Linked DNA regions of Neodiprion lecontei. The protein of the gene in region 2 purifies or fractionates together with the protein of the main gene of each other region. This does not show direct contact. Links are inferred from orthologs where the notes say so. Each region holds a gene or a part of one and is shown on either strand. Other genes may lie near its edges.

Region 1 (10,621 bases), on a different chromosome or scaffold from region 2:
AACCTCAAGGATCTGTGAGCGTTACAGCGCAAAAGAATCTCAGTGGTCCAGAACGCCGACCTTCTTACAACGTCGATTACCAGCACAAGCTTTTTGAGAATAAGCATGGTTCGATCAGCGCCACAGCAGGAGCTCAGAAGAATCCAGGACAGAGAGTGCAACCTACTGTTGGAGTGCAAGGGTCTTTCCGATTCCGTAGATCGCCGGAACCACAGCCGGAACCTCAAGGATCTGTGAGCGTTACAGCGCAAAAGAATCTCAGTGGTCCAGAACGCCGACCTTCTTACAACGTCGACTACCAGCACAAGCTTTTTGAGAATAAACATGGTTCGATCAGCGCGACAGGCGGAGCTCAGAAGTACCCGGGCCAAAGGTGGGAACCAACTGTTGGAGTACAAGGGTCTTTCCGATTCCGTAGATCGCCGGAACCACAGCCGGAACCCCAAGGATCCGTACGTGCCACTTGGCAGAAGAATCTCAGTGGTCCAGAACGCCGACCTTCTTACAACGTCGATTACCAGCACAAGCTTTTTGAGAATAAACATGGTTCGATCAGCGCGACAGGCGGAGCTCAGAAGTACCCGGGCCAAAGGTGGGAACCAACTGTTGGAATACAAGGATCATTCCGGTTCCGGAGAGCAGCGGAGTCAGAATCCGAAGAAAAGATCGTTCAACAAAATTAAAATTGAGTCGTTTATGTCTAATTGACTTATACTTGTCTTATGTATATTTGCCACTTTACCACCAAATTTCATTCAAATTACCTAATATATGTTTGAATAAATAATACTTGATTTCTTCTCTATAAAATAACCTTTTATATCATTTTAATATCAACAGTATTACCACCCTACTGTAAATGTTCATTTGTTAAATCATAAAGTGTTTTGAAAGAATTCAGCATGTAATTTATTACATGATTCATCTTCTAAATTCGATAAAATGTATGAGAAATCACGTAATGAAAAACAAAAGCACGAATTATCAGATATACTGGATCAAATATCATATAGTCATCTATACAGAGCAAGCAAAATCATATAGTCAACTGTTACGTGATTTCTTGGACACCATCCTATAGGACATCAGCGTTATTGGACAGCAAAAATAATCGGAAGCTATATGGAGCGCTAGATTAATTGGACACTGACTGATTCGACATAGCGATTTATTGGACAGAGCCCTTGTCTTTTGTTACTTTCCTGATTGCGGATCTGCGGATGTATGGAGTAGTTACGATGACATGACGTGACAAGACGCGTTCGTGGAATTTGATCTATTCGATAGGTACATCGAAAAGTGAATCAGGACCAACTGCAAATACAATGCCAGTGCTAATCCTATTGGCGGCTGTATAAATGCGATAAGGTGCGCAACTATATTGTAAGTGTTGATTTGTGTAAAGCGAGCGCCCGGTTAGAGCATTCAGGCTCTCACTTGCTGCGACGTATGTTGGGTTGCCTTTCCAAGGCGCGTTAAACGCATCGCAAGATTGACAGAATTAACGACAATAAAATAAACAAAAAAACTATTTGAAAATAGTGAACAGTGGTTGAAGACGAATTTAGAATACATTATTGAATTATGTCACTAACGAACAGTGTATTCCGACGGAAAATTTGAAAATGATTAACCTTATCGTCGCGGCGTCGCCTGGAACGGCGGTAATTTTTTTCGTTTCGTTAGTAATTATCTTCGACTGCCATAGTTTTAGCACAGATATAACATTCATAGGACATTCTATTTCAGTGTACGATAGTTACCGTGTATCATGTTTCTTATGTCCTATAACTCCGCAATCTGGTAAGTAAAATTTGCGTCCCGAATATATCATCGGTCGTTCGGTATTCCACAATACCGACGGGATGTTACACGTATTTCCAGATACATCAAGTTGTTACCGATAATGTCGAGTTCGTGCAATACCGACTTACAAATCGTCGTCATTGACAAATACCCAACCACTTGGCTCATATTGAATTTACTATGACACGGAAGTAAACTTGTCAAAGAGTGAACAATATTGAAATGTATACATTATTAAACGGTCTTTATAAGTACCTCATGCAAAAAGACGAATATTACGTACTGATACTGGGCTTAGACAATGCAGGGAAGACGGTAAGAGTATCATTACACATTGTTGTCTTAGGTTATGTTCTGTACGAAGAGACATTGTGAGTTTTCTAAACGCTAGTTTAACTATTTCACAGACTTACTTAGAGGCAGCTAAAACGAAGTTCACGAAAAACTACAAAGGCATGAATCCCAGCAAAATTACTACAACAGTCGGCCTTAATATTGGAAAAATTGATCACGCGGGCGTGCGGTTAAACTTCTGGGATCTCGGAGGACAGGAGGAACTTCAGTCTCTCTGGGATAAGGTTTTATGTCGAACCTGATTTCATCTTTCACTCACTTCAGTCGACCTAGAATATCTCACATTTTTTGTAAAAAAATCCCAAGTCATAATTCTTATTTCAAATTTTATAAACCAAGATTCGCTTGACAATCTGACGTTCATTATACAACAATGGCAATATTCTGTTTAACCTTAGAGGGCTGGCATTTTTCCCTTGAAATTGGATATTTTTTTAGAGGTATGATTTATGTATGTAAATAGTCAACGCGCATGGTGGAGTTTCCGAATTATCTGCTGACCCCTAAAAGAGCCAGGCTGGCCCTTTAAAGGTTACTAAGGCGAGCCTGAAGCCTGATCACAATCATTCATCTCATTATAAATAAAGTTAAATCATTTGCAATGAAAACGCTATTACATTTTGTAAAACATAACATATTTTGCAGTATTACGCAGAGTCGCACGCAGTCATTTACATTGTTGATTCTTCGGACAGAGACAGAATACCAGATTCCAAAGAGACTTTTGGTAAGACAGTACCATTGGCCTAAGTGCAGGATGTTCTATTGTTACATCAACCTGTCAATGTGCATTTTACTTTTCGAAATCCAACAATAGTCTTAAAATAAAGTTTTGCAGTGCGAGTTTAAAAGTATCTTGAGCTACCTAAAACACATGTATTACTTGAAGGGTGCCTCAAGATCCTCAGAAAGTAGTAAATTTGTCTAAAACGCTTCTAGTTTTACCATGGTCGAAATTATCGATTTCTTTAGAACAAAAAATATGCTTATTCAAAGTATGTTCGCATGGAACAGCCTGACAAATTTCAAAGATGAATAAGTGTGCTTATAACAGATTTATGTAGACAGGATGATATCTTCGGAGCATTTGATGGGAGTACCTCTGCTGGTTCTCGCTAATAAACAAGATATACCAGACTGTATGGGAGTCAGAGATGTGAAGCCGATTTTCAATCAGAATGCCCATCTCATTGGAAGGAGAGATTGCATGGTGATGCCGGTTTCCGCGCTAAATGGGTAAAAAGAATAATTTCGCAGGGGTTACTCAGGGATAAACTCATTGAATTTGATCGCTCAAAACGGCCTAATAATTGTTGTTATTTATAGCGACGGTGTAGACGAAGGAATTCACTGGCTGGTCGATTGCATCAAAAGAAATAACGACATCCGTCCGCCTCGTAATCAGGACGATAATTGTCTGTCGTAGCAAATACATTCCTGTCTTCAATAACGGTAAAACATAAGTTAAATTTTAAGAATAGATATTTTGTACATTTTCCAATGCGACAATTCGTTGTTAATATTATTATTAATATTTTTATTATTATTTATATAAATAAATTATTTTTATTTCAATATTAATCGTATTTCTGAACTATTACGGTAATAAAAGGAAATACATTCCACTGTATCGATAATCTTCGAGGAGAAATATCGATTGATCAATATTTGTAAGACAGGTGAAATAATAACGATAATATTAGCAGAACAATATCGAAGTCACTGATATTGTGTAAAATCTGTATCCGTAAATATCCTCAAATTAATCACGATTAATTATTCTTCGCGGCCAACCGGTAAATGTGTTTTTAATGCAATGAAAAAGCGTCAGAAAATAGATAGTAAAATTGAATCTGATGGTTGATTAGAATGGTAGCTCTTGCTCAGTGTCAGCTGATAGCGGAGTCACAGAGTGAGATAAGAGATAAAGGCAACACCTCACACCTTCTGGCGCTCTATAATGCTAGTGATAAATATCGTTCGCCATACTAGCTGCTAGCCACCATAGCACATGATATACCGCCAATGAATTAACGGTGCTTCGTTTAAATTGCAAAATCCTACTGTTTGGTGAGATTACGCATCATGTGGCCCTATTATGAGACCGAAGATTGGAGTGTTCTCCCGCCCGAGCTGAACAGAAGGTAATCTTAACTACATATAACAGCTTAACATTGTATGCGACCTCTAAAAGCTCCTTATTTCGCTATTCACTCCATTACCGATTTTCTATTCCTAAAATATCCGTAAATGAAGTAGAATAATGTAAATTCAAAACTGTCCGTTCTTATAGTTGATTCGATAGGTGATGGTCCATAATTTATTTTCGAAGGTTTAAGACGCGTTTCTTTTTTGGTTCTTTTTTTCATTCTTTTTTCACAATTGTTGGTAACGAAAAAACGAAGTGGGTATACAGTATAAGATTACATCAGCTGCAGATAGTATTTAGTGAAAAATGTACGGTGCATCATGCATAATGCAGTGATCGAATTAATATATTCTTGTGTAAAATATTATCGGCGCGGTGATAAGCGTCCACGTTGCAGATTTAAGTTGCTGCCGGTCGCAAATTCACAGTGTTGATAAGCCTGTGGTGTGAAGCTGTTATTTGCGAGTATAATTACGATCGGCAAATACGCATTTTTTATGTACATATATATATATGTATGTACAATATATGTCGTTCGTATAAATTACATTGTATGCACACATACGGAGATGTGCTTGTGTAATATGTATCTCGTTATAACTCGGGTAGGGAAAATTTCAAACGAGTTATAGTATTGTAACGTGACGCGAACCCGCAATCAGGTAAGCCGATATGGGGAGAAGGGAAAAAAATTCAGGGAGGAGAAAAAAAGAAGCAATGATAAAATACACGCGTCGAGATAAATGGGAGAGAAGTATGAATGCAAAGGTGTGACGCGTCTGCATGAATCACAGATGCTCGATACATCCAATCGTTGGTGATACGGTACAAGATAACGAAAAATATCGCGTATTGATGAAGCTGATTGACGAAATGAAATATGCAAAACATGCATTGCGATGCAATGTACCAACTTACAGTCTAGTTTTTACTTGTACGAACATATTGATGGTCGGTTCGAAGCGTGATCGGTTTTTAATAGTTTCTACGATCGTTTCGTTAGAGATACCATTGTGCACAATTAGTACATGCAATTACCCGGGGAGCAAAATTTATTAACAAAACTACAGGAATTCATTAAGTGATCTTTTCAGTTTTTTCATATCCTTCAAACGACAACCGCATATAGGTATGAAATACCAGAGCAAGTCAACTACGTTGTGCAATGACACCTTTATTACCCTCCAGCGATGTATCAAGGGTCGAATGATAGGGTATATTTATTAAAAAAATGCAGTATCAAGTGAAGCGTGTCGCTTTAATAACGGTGCGAACGTATAACCTGTAAAGCATGTGCCCAATTTTGTTAAATAAGCGATGTACCGCCGACCGCCAACGTCAATTGAGGCCGTCCCGCCATCTTAGTTTTGGTGTATGCAGTGTTGCCAGATGACTGTTGCAGAAACCTCCTAGGGTAACTTTGAAATTCTCCTAGAATCTCCTAACCCACAAAGAAAATCTTCCCAAATTTCCTCCTAAAATTTTTAAAGGACAGAATGACCTTGAATCAAGTTTGCACGATATCATGCATATAATTGACACGTAGAAATAATATTCACCTTTCACAATAAGCTGTTCCTATAATATCTGAAATTCAGCTTAGACCCTACCAGCAATTCTGGAATTTGCTTTACCGATAGAATCTCATCCCCCACGCAAGTGGTCGCCTTTCGCTCACCGTACTTGTCGCATAGAAAAATAACAAATAAAGTCAGTAAAAATTGTAACAGTCGACGAGCGAAGCATAAATCTGAAAATTCTTGAAATTCGTCCTGAAAAAACTCCTAGATATTTTTTCTCCGGAAGCTTCCAATTCCTCATAAATTTAGTAGGAATTCTGCTAATCTGGCAACACTGCACGTATGGCTGACGGCGGAGATTAGTTCGTTGGTTTAGTGTAGATTGGTGAATTGCAGACAAGCGAGTGTTTTGTCGTACGTTCGGGGTGGGTCGGCGGCGTAATTTAACATATGCGCGATTAATAATGATCGCCTTGATGCGCCGATAATCGATTCGTGATAAATACCCCTGTTCCACTATTGTTTGCCATTTTTTTCTTTTCGTCAAATTTTCTCTTTCCTTTATCGTCCCTTTCTTTCCTCCTCTAATGATTTAAAACAACACACCACCCTTCGCCCACAACAATACGATTCTGGTCTCGAACTCTGTGGTAGGCGGTAGGTATCAACGTTAGAAAACCTCGATTGAATACATTATCCAGTGATCAAAGTTGACTAGTGAGCTGGAAAGTGGAACAGAGTTTCGGCAGGGCAGGTGCGGCATTGTTCGACGAGTGGTTCACTAAACTCGCGTTTGTACCTACTCGCAGTTCCAATTCCAAGTTATACACGGCTCGAGAATCGAGAGGAGTTGCCGATCAGTGCCTTTCCGTCCTCCCGTGTTTCTCTTTGAGTGGTGTGTCTTTCATTCGGATCCGTGCATCGGTTTGTTCCTGTCTTTTTTCTCACCTAAAAATCTCATTCGTCAGGTGAAGTTAGGTGACACGGTGGCGATTGACACGTTTCCGTCGTTTGACACCACCGTGTGCATCTGGACAAAAACTCTTCTCACCTGCCTGCTTATAACTGCCGTATGTATGTATTTTACATGCTCAACCTCGCTTTTCAACGATCTTGTACACCTGCAACCTTCGGTTTCGCCCGATTCTTTTTCCACCGTAGTTTATTCGATGTGATTTACCAATTCTACGCACACATTTGACAGCTTACCAAAAGCTAACCTTCGCATCTAACGCCCACTACTCTTTACATACCACACTCGCATTATTCAGCATCGATTAGCGTCAAAGTTAGTCAATTCTTTTCTTCTATTATCTTTCACTCTTCTCGGCGGTATCTTTTTTTTTTATTTTTTCATTTTTTTTTCCTACAATACAAGATTAGTTTCATACAGTTTGAGTTTGTTTTTAGCCACTCTTATTTTCCGACATTTTACACCTGCAAATCATAAAACATAGTAAACTCGAGTAACTCATCAGCATCTTACATTAAACATAATTTTCAAGCCTTTCAAAACATTGCCAATTTCTTGCGTAGAATGAAAAATCTAAAACTGACAAGTATTTACTGTAAACAAATAATATTATGTTGACAGAAATGGCAGTGTAAATCGTGTGATATATTTGTCGGGAAATTAATCTTGGAAGATGCGAATGTTTCTGTTATGTAATACAGACACGTACGCATATAAACTCACACAAATGTATGTCGACTCTGTTTATTGTTATAGAGACATGTGAATAGGTACATACAAAGCTTGCGTTTAACGTATAATTAGGATTGTAACCCCCATGCCCTGTCCCTGAGTTTGATATCAAAAGGAATAACGCCGATGTAACCATAAAAAAAACAAATACGATATGTCTAACAGGAGCATAGCGGCGATACAAAGGAGTAAAGAGTGTGTGTGTCGAGTGGTTAACAGCCTGCTGCAGTAATCCAGTTTGTTGCTATAGCTGCCAGCCGAAAACAAAAAAAAAAACACAAAATTTCTAAACGGTGTTGAGAAATCATGAATGCCTCAGAACATGGGTAATTTTATTTATTTTTTTGTTCATTTCAGTATTTCGTTCCGTACAAATGTTTGTTTGATTCGAATTTTATTGTATTCAGCCCTTGCGTACAGTCCTTCCTTTAATCTCTGTTGAAAAATTTTTAACATAGTCTGTAATAAGACTACTACTATTTTCTTATTGAAATAACGTATATTTACTGTCTAAAAGTTTTTTCAATGGTATAAAATAAGTAGAGCAAATTATATGCCAATTTATTTTTACAATAGTCAACATTTTTCTATCTTTAATTGATTTTATTTATTTCAAAAGTTTTGGAAAGAGTAGATTTCTTTTCAAATTTGTTGGTTGATTTGAAAATGATTCTTTTAATTTTCTTCTTGTGTTTTTTTTGTTGTTCTTAATCCTATTGTATTCAATTCGGACACTTTTCTGCACTCGATTGCAAAAAGAGAGTTCTACGGATAATTACTGAAATAAATTTTTCGGAAGAAGCTGTGACTTTATTTTATTGATCTTGTTTATAATTGCAAAAATTTGTTACAGTCGACATATTTTTTGAATTTCAAGAACAATTGAACCATTCTTCTATAAGAGAATCTAAAAATAGAGAGCAGTGGGGATTAAATAGGACAACCTGAATACGTTATCATATTATTATAACAGATGAAATACTGTGTTATAGATAAAATCTCGACTCGTTGACATTGATTTTAAACTTAGATAATTTATCTAACAATCGATTATTTCTTATCACTACTTGGAGGTTTTCATTTTGCATCGGATTGTTATCTTCCTTTTCCAATTCCTCAAATTAAAAAAAAACTGTGTCAAGTTCTAATGCGATCAAAAAACGATTGGGTACTAAAGGTGTCAATGCATGTAGATAGATATTACTAAGTTGAACTAAAAGACATTTATGGTGTGCTTTCTAAACCAGCATGGTGTGACTTTTTCAGGTTTAACCCAGCCTTCAATATGGCCTCCATAAAGCAGGCTATCAACGAGGCTGTTGAGCGAGGTGGGTATCCCGGATTGTGCGATTGATCATCCTTCCCTAGCTTTTTACACACGTCCCCAGGTTGCAATTAGAATAGAGAAAAAAGCAAAAGAACCTAAAGATGAGCTTCGGCGTCACACTCGCTAACTAGATTTATAATTCCCATCAATTTCTTTTACATCTGCGTAATGTATGATCTATTTTCTCTTCCTCGATGTCATCAGCTTCTGTACTATGCGCTTATATTTATAGTGACTGTGAAATTGGAATTCAGAGTGTGGTATTTGATTTTTTATATCCTGCTTATTCTGAGCTTACAGAGAACTTCTTTCAAGCTTTTTCAGTCCGTTCAATCTTTGCTTCGGTTTGTAGCTCTTTTACAAATTTTAAAGTGCCAGAGGATTTCTTTTGGTAAATCGAATGCAGAGCTTTGTCAAGGCTTGTACCAGATATTTTCAATGAAATATGCAGGTATTTTCTTTTCGAAAAATGATTCATCCTTTAAATCTTCAATTACTGCCACACGCCTGATTCATTCAGGCTTTTGTAGCTCTGGAACTTGGCAAAGCTCTGAATAAAGTCAACGATCGTTTCAGAAGTTTATGACACTTATTCGCACAGTCCTATAGTCGCCACTATTTTAAAATTGAATATATCGCACAGATTTTATGTGTCCAATCACGTCCCTGTAATGCAGCGATTAGTTCGTCCAGTGCAGTGCTTAGCTTTTTACACTAACGCACCGCCGCCCAGCTAACACAGTGCACTGATAACATAATGTTAATTTAAAAGTTTCGACAGTGAGAATGCCAGCTCCTACACGCCTCCGCGATTTGATCAGACAAATACGAGCGGCAAGAACTGCCGCTGAAGAACGTACAGTCGTCAACAAAGAATGCGCATACATTCGATCGACGTTCAGGGAGGAGGACAGCGTCTGGAGGTGTCGCAACATTGCTAAACTGCTTTACATTCACATGTTGGGGTCTGTAAAAATTTATTCTTCGTTATAAGAAAATCGGAATAACTTCTGAAGCTGAAAATTTGCTTCAATCAAATTCACAGATATCCGGCGCATTTTGGACAGCTCGAATGTTTGAAGCTGATAGCGTCGCCGAGGTTTACAGACAAAAGAATCGGCTATCTTGGGGCTATGCTGCTGCTCGACGAGCGACAAGATGTTCACCTTTTGATTACCAACTGTCTGAAAAAGCAAGTATAAGAAGTGATCATTACGGCAGAAAATATATTTTACCAGATTTTGATTGTGCGTTGAGAGGATGAAATATCATTCTCTCAACTCTTGAATGAGTTTTTATTTATAACATTCGTCTTTTTCTTTCTCTCATTATTGAGGAAGCTGCATTTCATTCTATAAACATCATAGAACTTGTTGCTTCAATAGCAAACTTGAAATGAAAACCAGAATCTAACAAACACCTGTCGCACCTGAGCAATACAACATTTTTCACTCTCTTAGCATTACGAGATGCGAACGATGAAAATAATATCTCGACGTTCTTACAGCGATTTGAACAGTTCTACACAGTTCGTAATTGGGCTTGCCCTGTGCACTCTAGGTGCAATCGCATCACCAGAGATGGCAAGAGATCTGGCAGCTGAAGTCGAGAGGCTTATGAAATCGCCCAATGCATATATTAGAAAAAAAGCAGCCCTGTGCGCGTTCAGAATAATCAGACGTGTCCCCGAATTGATGGAAATGTTTTTACCAGCCACTCGCAGTCTACTTACGGAAAAGAATCACGGTGTTTTAATCACT
Region 2 (11,486 bases):
ATATACAAGGACTCGCAAGACTAGCCAATCGAGTACATATTCATTGATGTATGTATTTAATTCTATAGAAATAACGATCATATATATAGTTAATTATATGCGAATAATGCAGAGGTGACAATTTTTTTAGTGGCTAAGTAATGAAGACAAAGTATTTCATTCAGTTTATTCTTAAACTTCGTCAAATTTTTTTTAACCCAGTTGAAACTTTTTCCTTAGCCATTCCTGCGTGCTTATTTTCTCAGAATACCATTTTAACTATTTTATCTATATAAATTGTAAATAGAAATTCGCAGTGGCATGGTTGTTGATTTCCTCCTTAAATTGGCTTGTAAGTCATACACAGGGTAACCCAGGACGATCGCCTTATAGGCTACCAATATGGTCCTCCTGAACATCCGCGACTGAAACGTTTTTTACTTTTGATCGAAAATTTGCCGTTTCCGATTTTATAGCCGTTTGAAATTGGCCAATCTGGTAGCATCTGAGGACTCAGAACAGCAGATGATCTGCTAGTCGCGTTCTCTTTCAGTTCTAAGCCATCAGATGCTACTGGAATAGCCAATTTCACACGGCTGTAATTTGCAAACAACAAATTTCCTATAAGAAATGAAAAACGAAAAATCACAGATTTTCCCAAAGAATACATTGGTAGTCTGTGGGGCGATAGTACTGAGTCATCCTGTATAATAGCTTGGTAAAATATAAATCAGTTGCCTGAATAATCCGGTCAGTTATGGTGTAGGATTAATTTCAGCGGTTTTCTTTGTTACAACTTGATGAGTATGTAACATTCAAATGCATTTTGACAATCTACTAAAAACAAAATTGCATTAGGCTTTGGAACAGATATCGTAAAACCTTTGCACAAATCCAATTACCAGTTATGTCGATATACTTCATTTTCATCACCTTGTGTGAAGTACTCGTGAATTACAGTTCTTTGGACTGTAGGTTATATTATTTACCAGAACCTCAATTAGAACGATCAATATTCCAATTATTGTATACAGTGTTAAAAAGTTCATCATCGTCATTTACCAGAAATCAGTGACAGTTCACTTAACATAATTTCTATATAATTCCTCTTGACAACAAAGAATTACTTTGGCGAAAAAGATATTCATAACCATCAACAAAATGTCATGAACATATACAATACTATATCATGGTTTTTATGGAAAGGAATAGTTTCGACAAATGATAGTTATTTTTCGAAAATGTTTCCTTTGCCCCGGAAGGACTGTATTTTTATAAAACACTTTGAAATCAACTTTTCAAAATTACAAAAATTCTAATCGAAAAATCAATTTGCTGTACTAACATTTGTGGCCTTCTAAATGAGCATATACTGAAAATTGCAATGAATATATATCTCGGCATAGTGAATATTTGGTTTATTTTTAGCGTGGCTCTGTTTATTCAGAATTGGATAACTGAACTGGTCAAAAAATCACAGCAGTAATCTAATGTACTCAGTTTACGGAAAGTGCCAACCAGATAAAAGATTGAAATAAAATTAATTAATGTAGAAAAATTATAATAAGTAACGAGACGTGTGCTTACAATTAATGTATATGTATATCTATTTATAAACTTTTGTATATAAACTGCTACTATCAGTTACTAATTCATCATAATCTCTCATTCAGACAGATTAGTCACTAACTATAACGATTCATATAGATTTCATTTCAAGCGTTCTAACCGAAATCATTTTAAGCCTGCATTCCAATAAAATGTTTCACTGCTATGATAACGACATGTTCGTTGAAACGTTAGCAGGTACGTTAACTTGTACTTTAAATCATTGTATTCACATAAAATCTAGCTACGCATTTAGTCAGTTTCAATAACTGTAACATAACGGATTCAATCGACTTCTAGTGTGACATTTCTTATCGTGAAAATCACTCGAAATTTTGCAAGTGATAATAGTTTACGTAATGTAATATGCATTATCCAAAAATAATCACTGGATTTTAGTTACTTGGTAGTTGAAGTGTTTTACGAGAATATCAGCCTGAAAAGTAGATGGCTTATTTGCCATTTAAATTCGTATAGGATCTCAAAGGTACAAACCTTTCAAATGAGTTGCACACAAGTCATTTTTTTTCAATTCAAAAGCCAATCTCTATCACTGTGAATCATTAAATAAGTATGCAAGTGTACTTTATTATGTGTTATTATCAATAGCTGAATTGAATTCTTTTATTCATATTTTGATTGACTAAGTTTGATTGTCAAACGTAAAACTGAAGAAGTCATATATCATTTACATTAAATGATATTATTATTTCTAACTCACATTTGATAGAGGTGTTCGTGATAAAAGAAATAGTACGCACAGTATAATTATTCAATAGATCACTGTAAAAGGGTTTAATTTCCATTCTGAAGCACATACTTATTTTCTTTCGTGCACTTTAAAGAGTTCTGTATTGAGTAGATTTTGTTGCAGCTCAAAAATTAGAAAATCATAGACCGAATTTCTGAGGGAATTTTATTAGCTGTATTTATTAGGAATGGAATGCTTGCTAAATTATCTTATTTGGAAATGTATATGTACTATAAAAACACGAAAATATTGTGAAAACAAGAAATGTTGAACACGTGAGGTTTGGTGATAAAATGAGATAGTTGCAACTGTGTAAAAAGACTAGAAGAATTTCGTCCAATTTATGTCAACTATCGATTAGTCACCAGTGACAGAGATCGTCTTTCAATATACGGTCAAACTACTTTTTACAATCTATCAACGCTTCGTGTACTCAATTTTTTAATAAAACCAGTAATGTTCAAGTATTGAATGTTATGCTTTATTTTTCTTATAATTTCGGGTATAACTGAAAATCAACTTAAACACTGCACTAACGTTTAATCATGCGGTTTGTGATACATATATACATACATGTATATACCTATAATATATCGATATAATATAGAGAGACAGAAGCTACATTTGACATACGCCTTCAAGTGACCATGGACCAGCCGGGCACATCTCTAGAGAAATCGTTCACATTTTAAATACATTTTCACGATATATTGGAGCATTATTTTAATCGTTGACGGTAAATTATGCCTCGCATAAAAATGCTCCCTGATTGAAATAAGCAGTTATAGGAAAAGTATTGTATTTTGATCAGAACGGTGGCATTGACATTTTTAAGGGCTGTTTAGGCGGAATGTTTTGTCCTTTTCTTTTGTGCGAATTCTTAGAGAATACCCCGAAAGACTGCGACATTGCTATAATTAATTACGCCTTATAATGTAATCGGATTAAAATCATTAATTTTTTGGATCTTTCCATACTTACAAGGGACGTTTGAACTTTGAACTTACGAGAATAAATACCAGCAACTTTTTAGTTTGTTTATATACCGCAAGTCCCAAGTGTAAAACGCAGCTATAGCCTTATTACATTTATGTTCATTACACTTCAAAGGTGAGATTACTTTTTTGTATTTTATCATCGACAAGTTGGTGATTAGCATCGTGTTTCATATAGGCCACTTCGTCCAATGTATCTGACCCATTTAATAACATCATGATCAGAATAATTCAGTTTAGATTCAAATACTTTCAAGTAACGAACTTTGAATCCAGAAGGGGCAAATGGAACCTCAAAGTTCATGGAAATTGGTGGTCGTGTCCACTTCTTCTTCGTATCAGTTTCTAACAGATCAATTTCAGCAGACAACTGCGTCTCTTTCATGCCAGCCATTCGCTTTATCTTCCATACAATTGCATTTTCCGATGCCTTATATTTTGCCTTTCCCTTTAAACATATCAGTTGTACGCCAGCTGTATTCAATGGCGTCGGAACACGGACCTCGATCTTTTGGCCAAGTAAAGAGGATTTGAAACTTGACTTGAGGACAGCCTTTACTTCCATCTTCGTGCGGCCGACTTCACGTACCAATGGTATAACGCGGAATGGCAGTGATATATCTTTTGTGGTCCGATATCTGGTACAACAATATTTTACATAATTATTTTTCAAGTTTTCAAATCACTCGATGTTTATGTATTTACTCATTGTTTGGATGCTACCAAAAGAACCGTTACTGGAACCCATCAATTACCTCATTAATTCGAATTCACCATCCGGTGGGATGAAACTGATGGAATGTTCTGTCTCAAACTTGGAAAGTTTGACACATTGATGGAACTGGCAATCATCGATAACCACCACAGGCTTGCCAGATCTAGCTCCAGGGTCATCACCCGTGCTACCTAAACTACCACCTCCTCCTTTCACTCCTTTTGCATCCATCACTATTTTATCATTAATCCCGAACTTACACTCTGGCATTCCTGACAAGTAGGACTTCATCACTACCTGTTTGGGAGAGAAAACTTTTAAAATTAATAACATATTTGAATAGTTCCATCAATGCTAATAATGTCAAACATCAAAACGGTTTTTAAATCCTTAGGCATCTGAAAAAAGATGGTAAGAATGTTTGCTAACCTTGCCAGCCACATGAGCGCTGAGAACCTGGCCCTGGGGGCTCATCAATAAATTGACGTATTCAAGAACATCAAGGAAAAGTTCATTGCGCCTATATTTTATTCCTTCTCGTCGCCATCCGATTTGACCTGTAACTTGGGAAGTAATCTGAGCCTGTTCTTCTTTTGTGGCGGACTTGACGCCTTGCTGAGTGATGAAGGTTTTCAGTACCCCAGTGTCACAGTTTTGTGGGTAACCAAAATCCAGAATTTCTAAAGAATCGATAGAAAAATAGTCATAATCAATGATTATGACCAAATACCATTTTGTGCATGATTTTAAGATGAAACTCATACGATGGAATAGGCAATTTTTTTTACCATCAAGCAGTTCGTAAATCAGGACAAAGTTGTTCTTAATGTTTTCCTCAGATATTTTGCCAAAATACGACTGCATGACTTCGATGATTTTCAATAAAAACTCAAAGACCATAGCAGCGTTGACATTTTGCTTGGTAACAGCAGCCAGCCAGATATTGGCTCGTTTAATATGGAAGAACGACGTCCTGGCAATATTGGTAACTGGCGATCGTACTTGCTGCCGAGCGTGAATAACATTGACCCTGAATGCATCGACTGCATTTCTGCCAATATCGTCACGATATACTCGAGAGATCAACACCTCTCCCTTATGGTTGTAGACAAACAGTCCCCCGATCATCTTGACGGAGGCTGTGAATTACTTTTTTGGTTACGCACCTGTAAATTCATATATAACTAATCAGGGCAGAGTTACGTAAAAATTTATAATTCAACAATTTATGATGATTCAACACTTAATATACTAATTAGATAGCCTACTTTGCATTCGTTTGAATAAATACAATCACAATTTTGGCCCTCTAGTTCTTGACCTTCCAAAGTCATTAAGTAGTAATTGAGATGCATTCTAATAGAGACATGCACTTGGTATTTTCACAGTGCCGAAACTGGTCGATTACCATTTTTCTCACACTCAGGGTAGTCAATTGTCTAAAGGCAAGCAGCCTACTTGTGATTTCGATAAATTATCCTATGTATTTGTCACAGAATATTCGTTGACACCGTGGTCAACATTTAATGCTGTTGCTTGTAGCAGTTCGGTGTTGAGCACTTGTTCAAAGAGCTCGGATAGTTGTAGAGAAGTGAAAACGGAAACCGATCAATGAATTGTTGGAAGTGAGAACCGAAAATTCGCGTACAGCTCGTTCGGATCTGTGATAAATAATATTTTTAATCAGTCATGAAACGACCAAGACTTTATTTAACGTAGAAACTGGTTAAAAATGACGCTTGATGACCCGATAAACGCCCACCGAGCGTCCGACAATCTAATGATGGTTCAAAACGTCATGCAACACATCCAAGATCCATCTCTACGGGCGAACGTTCTTCGGACCGTTAGTATTATCGATTGACAAGTGGACGATGCTTAATTCAGAACAGATTAATTTTTCGATGAGATGTAGAGTTGTGTTAGCCGAGGAAACAATTGAGAATCAACCATATAACAAAGCAATGAATTATAATGGACACTTTCTTACTTACGCATTCAGACGACTCAAGAAAATCGTAGAAATTACGCTGAAGTGCAGCTGTTCAGCGGGCACACAGAACTGCGAATGCGGCAGCGACACCCACTTTTTCCTACTACGGTTGTCAGTGATCGTCACTGGATGATACCGTGTAGGCATACCGGCTCAATGATCCAACAGGTTGAATCGAATCGATGAGTGTACCATGTTGTCAACCTGACGTAAATTCAATCGATTAAATAGCACGGAACAAACCAATCGTATTTCTCTTTCTTAATTATTTGTCAACAATAATACAGTAGTTAATTTGATCTTGTTACTTGAGATTTGATTGAAGTCAACGTTGAATACGATATACCTATATGGGAATTACTATTATAAGTGTATTGGGCTGAAAGAAAACAAGATATCTCAACACGTCTTTATCTACGACATTGCTCATTTATTTGTTTTTAGCTTGGAAAACATTGGTAAACAAAGGAAATGAAAATATTTCACAACTGATAAGGTGCGCGTAATATCGGGAGATCTAGAAGCATAGAAGAGAGACTATCTCTTGCCGAGTATTTCCGATTGCCTTTACCGATCATAATTTCATTATTTGAAAGAGTCAGCGATTTGTTTATAGTTTCTTGTATTTTCGGGATTGTTTTTAACCTTGACCGTGTTAATCTCATACTGACCAAAGAATTTTTGATGTATCCGTATACCCATACTATTATGTATCAGTGGATAATAGTATAAATCGTGCGCTTGCGTGGAATAGACTGCACTTTTTCTGTTGTGTTCATTTTGCAGTGAACGAAAAATCACATCTAATTACCGTAATACATACTTATTAGAATCTGTTACATGAGTATGAAGCTACGTTTATCGGCTAGCAAAAGTGAGTTATAATCGACGCGATGGCCATTGAGGAAAGTAATAATAGCGTATCTTTGCGGGATGAGCTCGTAAGTACTTTTCGCTACTTTAGGTTAGAATATCCGGGATTTTATTTCACATTCGAAACAATTTAATTAAGCATGATGACGACACATTTATTCAATTAATGAAAACACACAAGCACCACTCGATTACCTTTATAAATTCACCAACACTTCGCTTTATAGCTGTTCTTCAAATTTTTAACAACTAAATTACTAGCTGCTTCTCTCTTTCATCTCAATCTAGGTCAGGACTGCTGTAAAATTTTTACAAAATCCCAAGGTAGTTCCGAGTCCTTTAAAACAGAAACAGGAATTTCTCCGAAGAAAAGGTCTCTCGGAAAACGAAATTATTAAAGCATGTGAAATCGCGGGGGGGGACCAAATTGTCACAGAAGTTTCGTTTACTCCTAATCAAAAAGAGTTCACAGTTGTTCCTATGAATCATGGTCACAGCTACCCAAATTACCAACTACAATCGTATCGTCAAACAACATTTCAAAGAGTCAAAGAAATTCTAAATACCGTTGCTCTGTTTGGAACTGCAACTTATTGTATATATTGGTTCTACAAGGTGAGATTCCGCTCCTTATGCTGCATAGAATATTATATGTACTATGTTAGTTTCGAGATTCTATTGAAGATATAAAAATTGCCAAGGTTCTACCTAAAAGGCTCAAATGGAAATGGTAGTAATTCTGTTTCAATTAAATGAACCTGCAACAATTTAACCTTGTCATTTCTTCGAGTTACAAGATCCATTATACTATTTAAAAGAATTATCCTAATTGACTTTCAATTGTATTTTAGAAATTCATAGAGCCTTATTTATTTGGACGCAAGAGTCGCAAAACTGTGGAAGAATCCGTAACGGACTTAGACAAAACTATTAAAACCTCATTGAGAGAAATGAAAGACTCCATTTCCAAGGTAGAGATAGACGTCAGTAAACTGACGGAAAACCACTCCATCGATCCTAGCATACCACAGCTCGTTCAAGACTTGAAACAGGACTTAGCCAGTCTCAAGGGTCTACTGCTATCAAGGTACAGCAATGTCTATTTTGCAGAGTAAATAGTGATTTAGTTTTGTCTGAATTTGTTTTGTTCGTAAGTTGTGAATAATATCGGAATTACATTTTCTTTACCAATAGGAAACAATTTCCGAGTGTACCGGCATCCATTCCAACTTGGCAGCTAGCAACGTCGACAGTAAGAGAGAAAACAGGCGATAGAGAAGATCTAGATGATGCAGGGAGTGGTAGCAGCACCAACAACTCCGATAGTTCTTTGGAGATGATAAGAGAAGATCCTCCAAAAAATTGATTCAGCCTTAACCGAACTTGTGATTTTATTTCATTTGTAGATTTGCTGTACATGCCAATCATGTGGTTATCCTAATGTGTATAAATTTCGATCGATACAAGGACAGCCAATATAAGTTATGCTAACGAGTACGGATCACTACAATAAGCTGTTGAAACTCAGATCAATATCTTTTTTTCTATAAGGAACAAGTTTAGATAATTTCTCAATTTCCCCAACAATTGAATGAAAATTGTTAATCAGGAGGCAACTGCTGAGTCTCAAATACAATGTTTCATTACATCAATTCTTTTACAATTATGGTAGACTTTTTTACACGCATTATTATGGATGTTGGTACGATCATTGTTTTGTACATATAAGAAAAGTGTTTCATTGTTACGCAGGTTTATTGTTAGTATATTACTCATACAATTCAGTCATACGATAAATTGCCAAATATACGAATAAAAACAGATCGAATCATTGTTGTTTATTCAAGAAAAACAGCCGACATACGATTCGGCACACGTTTGTATATGACTTATTTAAATACCCAGTTATTTTGTCACTATGATCAAGAATTTATTATTAATAATAATATATAATTAATAATCATAAATCTATATATATTATCCACGTAGATATATATATATACACGTGTATATATATATGTATATTTATAGCTCATGTATATCACTATAATATTATCTCACGTATACCACAACCGCACGCGACATTCGCAAATCGACAGATGCACGGCCATCCTTACTAACATACACACTTTGCGCTCTAATATGTACAAACCATGCAATAATAATGATGTTTAGGGTTATTAGAAGATAAGCGGGCAAAATATAGAGCTATGTTCTCATCAATTCTTTTCCATGCCACATACAATGTTTGTCCTGTTAATTTTAAATTACGTGTACATGGATCGTTCGAGCGAATTACGATTCGATAATTAATCAACGGCGACCCTAATGAGTTGAATAAAAAATTATAACAAAGAAAGATATTTCTGTTGCTTCATAATGTTTATTATTACTGTTTGTCTGATTCTTCATAATCACTTCAGGTATAATCGGCATACCGCTGCCTCACTGATACAGTGAGCGTACAGCTAGATATCTTCTAGTACACATTTCCTAGTTATTCTAGGGCAGCTAATAGAATTCGTTATTGCAGTATGGTTACTTGAATAATTATTCGGATCATCATTGCCTGCTACATACGTCGAATGGCGTAAAATATTTACTAAAAATATCAGTTTGCTGAGTGGAATTGAAAAGAGGATTAGTAATGATGACGATAATAAAATAAAAAGCTAATAGAAATTACGGTTTATCGTGCATTTACAGACCCTGATATTTTGTTTTCATTTTTCACGTGTCAAAGGTGAAAGGCGAATATGACATAAAAGCAGAAAAAAAATGATACCCTACATAAGTTATTGTGCTGACGTAGGTGATGGCTAACAGTAGCTTGCTGTGTGCACTTTCTATCGGCGCTACTGATAAGCACAGAAAGTGGAGAGAGTCTAAGGCAAAACTTTGTCATCTTATTTCATGGGTAGCGCTTAAACGTTCCTATTATTAATTATTAATAATAATTCTACCCTAGACACACTAGACTGTTAGCGGTTTGAACTCTAATCTATTCTATGGGTTTTACTGGCAGGGGCTATGCTACCATGTATGATGTAAATGTAAGTTTCTAGAGAGTACAGAGCGGACGTCCTGTGTAAACCGTAAGGCATCCAACACTGGAAGTAAACTGAGTAGCGCTGTGTCGCCGGCATCACTAAACCAAGACTTTATCGGTATTGCATTATCTGTAATTTAAACGTCAAAAATTGATTAATCAAGTATACAATCTGCGGATTGCATAAACCATGCAAGAGTGACTCTGCTACAAAAAAAAAAGCCAATTGAAAATAGAAAGACTTATTTCTATAAAGAATATTGTTCTGGAGTAATGCATGTCGTCCAAAGTGATAACGGATTATAACATTTTCGCAATTCAGTAGGTATAATAAACACCACTATAAATAATATTCTAAAAATTTATAGCTTACGTGGATAAGCTCGGTAGGCGCCAGGACTATTGTCTAAAATGAAAACAGATGCTAAGTCTGAGCAAATAGCAGCCAAATCTTTAGTATAAGATCCCATTTCTGGAGTGCAGTGCTGTCTATAATATCTCCGTCTTAGAATCCCTCTGTTGTTGTCTAGTTTGTCAGCAACTGCTGCTCCATAAATTTCCATTGAAGCTGTGAATACTACCAGCTCGTACCTGGATCATATTGAACATATATACATTACTTCAATTTGTCGGTGCCAACAACAATTTCGAAATATTGAATAAAATTTAAGCAACTTACCACTGACTAACAATGTCCAAGAAAAAATCTACGTGTGGCCTTTTATGAACAAAAAATCTGACTGGATGACGATCTATGGTGACTTTGAGGACAAAATCTGGCGGTGTGCCTGGCCTGACAGTCGGTCTTGCAACACCGTCATGGTGCGAGTGAATTAGTGTCTCGTCTAAGTCCAAAACTAGGACTTTTCTCTTAACTATACCTGTAGACGGTGAAAGAACATAATTTGTTTTGGTAAAATAGAAACAACCGTTATTGATGTTTATTTTAAATTTGATACTTTTTTTAATAATTACATTACTTACTGAGTCGGTGCCTAGATAAAGGAGACAACGGAAAAATTTCATATTTAACTGGTTGCATCTGGGAAACCTGAAAATAATTTTTTTTTAGTCAACGTTTTTCAATTTGATTCAAAGCAGCTACAACCTTATTGTGTCCAATGAATGCCACAGTATGTACTGTACAAAATTGTGCACTAGTCAAATCTTGTTGTCAGAATTCATCAATCAACATATTCAGCGATCAAGATATTATTCAAGATAATGTAACTCCAAAGATCTATTCTATATACATTATCAACACATATACCTATACATTACTGTAATATTTGCATAGTATACATGGCTGAATTCATACAACACATTAATATTAGATTAAATTTCTTTTATCTCCTTTTGACTTTTCTATCAAATGTGATGCGAGAGAGAAAAAGTTTATGTAATAATCTCATGAAATCGAAAGTAAAGGAGTGGGAATAAATGAGAAAAAAAAAGAAGAAAACAGGGGAAGGAACTTGAAATTAACAGTCTGACAAGGTTGCAATAATGCAAGGAACGTTACA

What was found. Proteins that work in one complex are often made in the same cells at the same time.
Region 1: the proteins of AP-2 complex subunit mu (region 2) and AP-1 complex subunit gamma-1 purify together in Homo sapiens (affinity purification with mass spectrometry; 3 studies listed by BioGRID and IntAct, counting the BioPlex papers as one, with this or other methods). This does not show direct contact. The link is inferred for Neodiprion lecontei from reciprocal best matches to the Homo sapiens genes AP2M1 and AP1G1.

Annotation. Positions count from the first base shown.
Region 1 is NC_060264.1:28,341,356-28,351,976, reverse strand, and holds the start of AP-1 complex subunit gamma-1, read left to right. Parts: upstream 1-4,175; 5' UTR 4,176-4,245; coding exon 4,246-4,304; intron 4,305-6,072; exon of another isoform or gene 6,073-6,901; coding exon of another isoform or gene 6,902-6,903; intron 6,904-7,724; exon of another isoform or gene 7,725-7,840; coding exon of another isoform or gene 7,841-7,860; intron 7,861-8,800; coding exon 8,801-8,862; intron 8,863-9,633; coding exon of another isoform or gene 9,634-9,642; coding exon 9,643-9,826; intron 9,827-9,906; coding exon 9,907-10,053; intron 10,054-10,368; coding exon 10,369-10,621. Other genes in the region: uncharacterized protein LOC107219157, read left to right, coding at 1-683; ADP-ribosylation factor-related protein 1, read left to right, coding at 2,029-2,121, 2,214-2,384, 2,806-2,887, 3,225-3,396, 3,487-3,586. UniProt on the Homo sapiens protein: Subunit of clathrin-associated adaptor protein complex 1 that plays a role in protein sorting in the late-Golgi/trans-Golgi network (TGN) and/or endosomes.
Region 2 is NC_060261.1:8,411,052-8,422,537, reverse strand, and holds AP-2 complex subunit mu, read right to left. Parts: upstream 6,183-11,486; 5' UTR 6,043-6,182; exon of another isoform or gene 6,039-6,042; intron 5,432-6,038; exon of another isoform or gene 5,317-5,431; intron 5,215-5,316; 5' UTR 5,177-5,214; coding exon 4,837-5,176; intron 4,729-4,836; coding exon 4,478-4,728; intron 4,346-4,477; coding exon 4,089-4,345; intron 3,972-4,088; coding exon 3,491-3,971; 3' UTR 2,798-3,490; downstream 1-2,797. Other genes in the region: peroxisomal membrane protein PEX14, read left to right, coding at 6,935-6,982, 7,203-7,529, 7,766-8,001, 8,109-8,280; CTD nuclear envelope phosphatase 1 homolog, read right to left, coding at 9,948-10,093, 10,337-10,554, 10,643-10,844, 10,948-11,014.